Oryctolagus cuniculus: one gene and its partner. The protein of the gene in region 2 interacts with the protein of the main gene of each other region in a biochemical or structural test. Links are inferred from orthologs where the notes say so. Each region holds a gene or a part of one and is shown on either strand. Other genes may lie near its edges.

Region 1 (3,934 bases), on a different chromosome or scaffold from region 2:
GTCCTGTGAGCCTGGGTTGGTCAGACCCTGCAACAATCCTGTTTGTCCTCCAAATCCTGCAGTGTCCTTGACCAACAGCCTCGCGGGGAGGCGGCTTCCCACCGACCTCCAGATCTGAACAGCTCTGGCTTCTGGACCCGGTGCGCCCTACGTTATCAGCGAAGTAGCCTCGCCCAGGCGGAGCACGGACAAAACGGCCAGGGGCAGCTGTTAGGGCTGTGGCAACTGCGACTCATCTGTGCAGGGACACTTCTGAATTCAAAGACCAAGGGTTGCCAGGTCAGGATTTTTCTTATCTTCATTTTCTATAGCTCTCTTTAGAATGTGTGAAATCCACTAGGTGAAAACCACACGTTCAGCATCGCGGCTACGTGGTTTGGAGCCAGGTTTCCTACTTGGGAGGGGCCCATGGCTTTGGGAAATTGCTCTTGATCCCCATAGCGCCTTCTTTTAGCCCCTTTATCCTCTATCTTTGGACAACGGTGTGTGTGTGTGTGGGGGGGGTGATTTTGTATTTTGTGTATCCTGGGACTCCATAGCGTAGTTTCTTTGTGGACTGCAACCTCAGGTGTACGAAGTGTAACCACAATAAAATACTACACACATCTGTGGCTGTCTCCCACCGGCCTCCCGCATCGTCACCGGTCACCCAACCTCGCCACTTCACCGGCAGCTCGCACACGGCAGGGAGGCTGTGAGGATTCACGCGAAAGCACCCGTGAGCGCTCCGCGGCGCCGGCAGCTGCCGGAGCACGTGGCCGCTCGCCCTCCAGGGCCCGCACCCAGATGTGGGCGCCGCAGCCAGCACGCTCACGCCTCAGCACGCACCTTCGGACACTGGAAACGCACGGATCCCCCAGCGCCCACCGTGCGCGCGCTTCCGGGACGACCGCCCCTCCCGCCCGCGCGCTCGAGGGCCCCGCCCCCTGGCGCCACGCCCCCTCCGGCCGCACCTGGACGCTAGGCCCCAGCTCCCGAGACCTCGCTTCTCCCTCTGCAACCGAATCGCCGCGGCGACCGGAAGAGGCGCTGCTCGGACAGCCCGAGGGGCGGGCGCACGCAGCCTCCCTCGGCTCTGCCCCCGACTGGGGATCCAGAGCGTCCCGGTCGCCATGAAAACAGGCCACACCCCGGCCGCCCCGGCCCGTGGCTCGCCAGTGCGCAGTCGCGTGCGCCCTGCTGCGCATGAGCAGTGCCGGCCGGAGCCCGCCAGCCACGGTCTCCGGCGCCAGCGACGCCGCTGCCGCTGTCACTATGGCCCATTACAAAGTGAGGGGGGCGCGGCGTGGCTGGGGGCGTGTGGGCGGTCGCCAGCTGCGGGTCGGCGCCGGGCGGGAGTGGGAGCGCGCGCAGGTGTGGGGGGTCCCCGCGGTAGCGCGGTGGAGGCGGGGTTGCCGGACTCCCAGAGCCTTCTTCCTGCTCCGGCCCCTGGGCTTCGGCCCCTGACCCGCGGTGTCTCCTCAGGCCGCCGACTCGAAGCGCGAGCAGTTCCGGAGGTACTTGGAGAAGTCGGGGGTGCTGGACACGCTGACCAAGGGTGAGCATGGGCTCCGATAGGGCTCCGCGTGCCCCTCGCCCTGCCGCTCGGCGCTGCGCCCCCGGCGGGCCTCGGCGCGGGGAAGGAGGGCGAACAGGTGGGACCCGTCCGGGTCGCAGCGAGGTGGGCTCGGGGCCGGGCGCTGCCGGCCGCCGCGGGCGGGGCGGCCTGGCTCCCGCTCCCCGCTCTCCCCGCGCCGAGAGCGCAGCTCTTGCAGCTGTTGCAAAGTCGCTCCAACTTCCGCCGCTGTGCCTGGAGCAGCCGCAGTGGTCGTGTTTGCTGGAGACCTGTAGGTGCCGGTTCCTCCCGCCTCGGGGCGTTTGCGGACCCCCCCAGCCCCACCCCCACCCCGTCCCCTGAATCTTAAGACACATTTTTCCCTCCGACCCAGGGCAGCTGGGGAAAACACCAGATACGAAAGAGGGCTGTGCAGCACTCCTCGCTTCCCCCGCTGTCTTGGTCTAATTCAGTTCCTGCTGTGTGTAGATTTCGTATTGAAGGTAGAAATGCAGTGTGTGAAGCCCGAGGACACATCAGAATTTTTATATTGTGCACAAGCTTAAAGCTGGAAGTCCACTGTTACACTGTATCAGTGCCCGCGTGGGTTCAGGATCTACTGGGGGAGATGCTTCAAACAGCAGGGGTCCCAGAGGTGATAAGGGGTCTGCTTGCTTCTGAGCTCAGCAGTGTGTCGCCTGGCTCACTGGCTGGGATTTTCCAGGGTGTAGAACGGAATTGCTGGCAGAGATGAGACCAGGACCATGGGAAAAGAACAGGAAATGTCTGAGAAATAATTTGGTAACTGCTCTGTGTTCAGAAACGAGGGTTTGGGGGAAGCTTCTGGGCCAAGAACTCTCTGGTCTTAGAAGATGGTAGGGCTCTTAATTCCTATGCAGGGATGGCTGTTTGACTTGCTACCCACGTTGGGTTCGATACTAGTCTCCCTGTCTTTGCAAATACGTTTCAGCAAATGTGAAGGAATTCCTCTGTGAAAGGCTGTGCTGTGTTGTCACTGCAACTGTCGTGAATGCTTGGAATGTCATTCCCTCAAAAAATCCAGCAAACTCATTTCTTTAACCATTTTATTCAGGCCTCCTAGACACTGGGGATACAGTAGTGGGGGAAGAATGTCCCAGGCCTCATGCAGTAATATCCTAGCTGGGGAGACACAGCGTAGATAAATACTTAGTGTCAACTAGTGGTAAGTGTTAGGAATGCAAACCTAGCAAGGTTAGGGGGCCGAAGGTGGTGGGTGTGATTGTGCCACTCAGTCAAAGTGTGCGAGTACCAAGGCTTTCCTTTAGAAGTAACTTGCGAACAGAGACCTGAATGAAATGTTGAGTTCCAGGAAGTCTTACAGGTTGATCGTCTTTAAAATCCAGAATGCTCTGCTATCTGAAACATAGTGTCAGCATGACACCACAAGTGGGAAATGCAGCAGCTTGACCCCATGTAATGGGTGCCAGTCATAATGCACATTGTGTAAATTTACCCTTAGAAACACTGTGTCAGTTTGTCTTTAGGCAATATGCATAAGAGGTCTATGAAACAAATAAACTGTTTAGACTTGGATTCCATCCCTAAGATAGTTCATGTATATGCAAATATTCCAAAATCCAGAAAAAAAAAACAATCTGAAACACTCTGGCCCAGGCTTTTTGGATAAGGGATATCAAGGAGGCCAAAGTGGCTGGGTGGAGTGAGTGGCAGAAAGCCAAAACAGAGGACGATAGGATTTGGTAACTGACTGCACAGGAGAGGCACAGCCTTGTGGCCACGTGGGGTTTTTCCTTCATGAGGGTGGAAGATCCTGGAGCCGCCTTTTCCCTTGCACACACCCACTGCACTGTAACTCTTCATCTCCTTAGATTTCCACTCTCCGTAACACCAGTGTAGTGTCTACTGGTATAATTTAGTTTAGAGTTTTATTTTCAGCTTCAAACATAGGTTCTTTATACAAATTAGTTTTTTATCCAGCTATTTCCAAGAAGATTTGAACTGCTTATAACAAAATACTAAAAGAGAATGGCTAAAGATGATAGATCTTTAGAAGAGAAGGCATTTTAGTTATTTTGAGCACTATATCAACCTCTAAACATTCTAGCTGCCTAGGCAAAAAAGGGGAACATAATCAGGCAAAGAGTTTTCCTTCTCTTACTAAAAGGAAGTATATTTCATCTATAGAAAAGCACAGGAAACAACATTTACATTCGATTCTTTATTCAGGTTTTAAGGACCATGGACAAATTTAGAAACTGAAAGAAGTGGGGTGGGAGAGAAGGGGGAGGAAAGGGTAAGAGTATGAATATCCATGTCTCAGAAATTCAGGGTTCAGTAGAGCTCAGTAGGAATTAATGGAAGAAGAACAGGCTGGAGCATATGAAGAAAGAAGTAATA
Region 2 (3,500 bases):
AACTCAGCCTAGCTGTGTGCCCAGCTGTGTGTGTAGCTGGAAAAGCATTTCCGTCTAGACCCACTGCTCTGAAATGGGACACAGATTAGCCAGAACAAACCAAGGAAATACAGAACTCAGATGCCAGACCCTGACTTACATTCCTGAGTATAGATCTCAATGGAGAGACTCAAGGGACTCTCAGGCCAGTGACAGCCAGGTCTTCTAAGAAGTCTTTGCCTCAGGACGGTGCTCAGAGCATAAGGCTGTGTGTCACAGGGCCACACACCCCTACCCTGGGGCAACCATGGGTAAGAGTCCCCAGTGCACCCCTTGCAACTGCTCTGGGACATCAGGGATGAGGATCTGGGACATGGAGCTGGCTACACTGGGTCCTACCCCATCAAGGGAGCCCTTAATACAGATGCCTCTTGGACTCTGGTTCAGTCTTTACTGCTAAGTTGAACCAATTTTAAGTTTTCTGATAAAAACTAAATCCTTATGCTTCCAAAAGGGAAAAACCACAAAAAAATGCTATAATTTCAAAAGGTTCCCTGATGCCTTGAAGCCCACTGGGAGACCCAGGATAGGAACCTTGATGAGGGTGGGTGGAGAGATGTTCAAAACCCGCAGACAGGATGATAAAGGACAGGTGACAAAGGACAGGCTTAGGAGTCGGACTAGTTTTGGATCCCAGCTCCTGCTCCAATGTCACCTGGGCAAGTCACTGGATTGCAGAGGCTTAGTGTCCTCACATGCTAAATGGACATGACCCAAGCTACCACACAGGCTTGTTGGGCTGAGGATCTTTTAAAGAAACCAGTATATGCATCAAGTGTTTTTTGTATAACACAGAGTGGCCAACCTTAATTCCCAGAACAAGTAGTTACACCCATTTAACAGATTCTAAGTGGCAAGACTGAGATTTGAATCCATGCATCAAAACACTGCTCAACCAATGGAAACAGCAGCTTGGCCTGCTGGCCATTAGCTAGGTGGAGGAAACTCAGCCCAGCACCACTCCATAACATTGGCAAGAATTCAGGGATGCCCTGCCCACGATGGGTCTCAGAATAACTTCCTCCTCACCAAGAACAAGGACAAGACATGCAGCCCTCAAGGATTCCCCCATGGCCTGGCCAGAGCCTGAGATCCCCCCTGCCAGGCCCCAGGACAGCACTTACTTTCCACCGGGGTGGGCAGGGTAGGGATCCCAGGCTGAGAGTAGCAGAGGTACATCTGCTGGTCCAGACTGCGCAGTGCATGGAAAGTAGGGTGTGTGTGCTGCTGCACAAACAGGTGCCCCGCGTTGACCTGGTTGACCACGATGACCTCCACAGTGACACCATCAGGCAGCATGAGCTGTAAAGGGGAGGGGCAGCAGGCACTGTGACAACCTTTAAGCCCCGAGGCCCCAGGACAAGTCTCTGAATTGGCACATCCTTGAAAGGTAGAGCAACCCAAGACAACACAGCACCCAGATGGCAGCCACCATGAGCTAGTTAGCCAGAGGCCCACTGTCCTGCAATACCAAGAGTGGCCTTTAGGAGGAGTGTCACCCCAAGGCAGTGCAGGGAGGTTCTGGGCATCCAATAGCCCACTGTGAATGTGGTACTGGGCCTCACACAGGTCTCGATAGAATCTTTCTGCCAGAGGTTTCCCTCCCTCCCACCTCCTTGATGAGTCTCTAAGACTCAGGGAGGTAAACAGAATGAAGCAATGATGAGAACGAGGTGCCGGGGGATAAAAGGCAGCCAGCCCAGGCCCCTCAGGACCAGCAGCTGACCCTAGAAGCCCAGGGCCTGACAGTCTCTAGTCTGCATTCCTAATGACAGGTCCACTTTCAGGGTCTGAGTCCTAGTTGCTCTTTCTGCAGCTTCTTGTCTTCCCTACATTCCAGACATTCCTCAGCTCACTGTCACTTTGGGACTCAGCAGGCACATCCTATATTAAGGCCCTGGAGGAACCCCCACATCGTCTCTAAAAGCCTTATTCCTCAACAGCAGTTTTCCCCATGCCCAGCTACAGACAACATGTGGGGTGCTTGGGCCAACAGAGAGTCTGTTCTACCTTCCAGCCAGCTGTCTACAACAAGAGAAGCTCCCAGCAAAGAGTCCTGGCCTCCATGCTCCTCTGTCAGCTCAAGGCTCTGGAAGTGCATGTCTCGAGATGACCTCCACAGTGAGGGAGCAGGAAGGGAAGGAAGACTACACAAAACCCTTCGTTACTTAATATGAAGGTTTGAGCCAGGCCTCCTGGAAACAAAACTGTGACTTGAGAATAAAGCATGGAGCAAATACTCCCAGAAAGCAAAAAGGGTTCCCTATCCCTTCCCTACAGCACAAGGGTCTTCCTAGAGGAAGACAGAACTGCCATGTCTCAGCCTATACCAAACCCAGGGGAGGTCTTCTTGGAGCAGCAGGCCTAGCCCATTTTAGAGAACTGCAGGAAACAATCTTTGGCCCATAGAACGCTGCACTTCTCAGTGAGAGGGGCTGGACCGGGGCCAGATGAGATGACAGGCCCCAAACATCCCGCAGCACCAGCACGCAGGGGCCCTCAAGATGCAGGCCCCTGTTCCTGCCACGCTCCCAGGTCAACGCTATAGAGCGACCCAGCTTCTGGGCCTGAGGGAGAACTCTGAGGGTACTTCAAAAGGTTCTCAGCAACACAAAGAAAAATGATTATTTCATGCAGAAAAAAGTCTGAAGTCCATATTTAGTTCTTTTTCAATTAGCAATTTCACAAATGTTTGGAGATCCCTTACCTGTGTAGATTTAAACATTTTTGTACCAAACTTAAAATTTTTTCTTCCATTTATCTGAAAGGCAGAGCAATAGGAGTGAGAGATTTTCCATCAGCTGGTTCTCTCTCCAAATTCCCAAAACAGCCAGGGCTGTGCCAGTAGAAAGCCTGGAGCCAAACTATCTGTGACACCCTTGTGGGTGGCAGGGAAACAAATACTTAAGCCATCACCTGCTGCCCCTCAGGGTGCACACTGGCACAAAGCTGACCCCAAAGTGAAGACAGAACTCAAACTCTGATACTCTAGGGGGCCGGTGCTGTGGTGCAGTGGGTTAATCCTCTGCCTGAGGTGCCAACATCCCATATGGGTGCCAGTTCTAGTCCCAGCTGCTCTTCTTCCAATCCAGCTCTCGGCTGTGGCCTGGGAGGGCAGTGGAGGATGGCCCAAGTGCTTGGGCCCCTGCACCCGTTTGGGAGACCAGGAAGAAGCACCTGGCTCCTAGCTTTGGATCAGCACAACTCCAGCTGTTACGGCCATTTGGGGAGTGAACCAATGGAAGGAAGACCTTTCTCTGTCTTTCCCTCTCTGTCTGAACTCTGTCTCTCAAATAAATAAAAATCTTTAAACAAAAACAAAAACACAACTCAGGAGGCAGATCTCCAAAGAAGCTTAATAGCTGCACCACAACACTCATCCCTAAACTCATCTTTTACTTCCATTTTCCCATGAACTATTTGAAGTACCCTCTTATTTATGAAATATAATCTAATTAGCC

What was found.
Region 1: the proteins of AKAP1 (region 2) and MYCBP form a complex in vitro, tested with the Homo sapiens proteins (2 studies listed by BioGRID). The link is inferred for Oryctolagus cuniculus from reciprocal best matches to the Homo sapiens genes AKAP1 and MYCBP.

What each region holds. Positions count from the first base shown.
Region 1 is NC_091438.1:133,966,199-133,970,132, forward strand, and holds the start of MYCBP (C-Myc-binding protein), read left to right. Parts: upstream 1-1,134; 5' UTR 1,135-1,185; coding exon 1,186-1,269; intron 1,270-1,464; coding exon 1,465-1,537; intron 1,538-3,934. Other genes in the region: GJA9 (gap junction alpha-9 protein), read left to right, coding at 1-118. UniProt on the Homo sapiens protein: May control the transcriptional activity of MYC. Stimulates the activation of E box-dependent transcription by MYC.
Region 2 is NC_091448.1:32,671,268-32,674,767, reverse strand, and holds part of AKAP1 (A-kinase anchor protein 1, mitochondrial), read right to left. Parts: intron 1,342-3,500; coding exon 1,164-1,341; intron 1-1,163.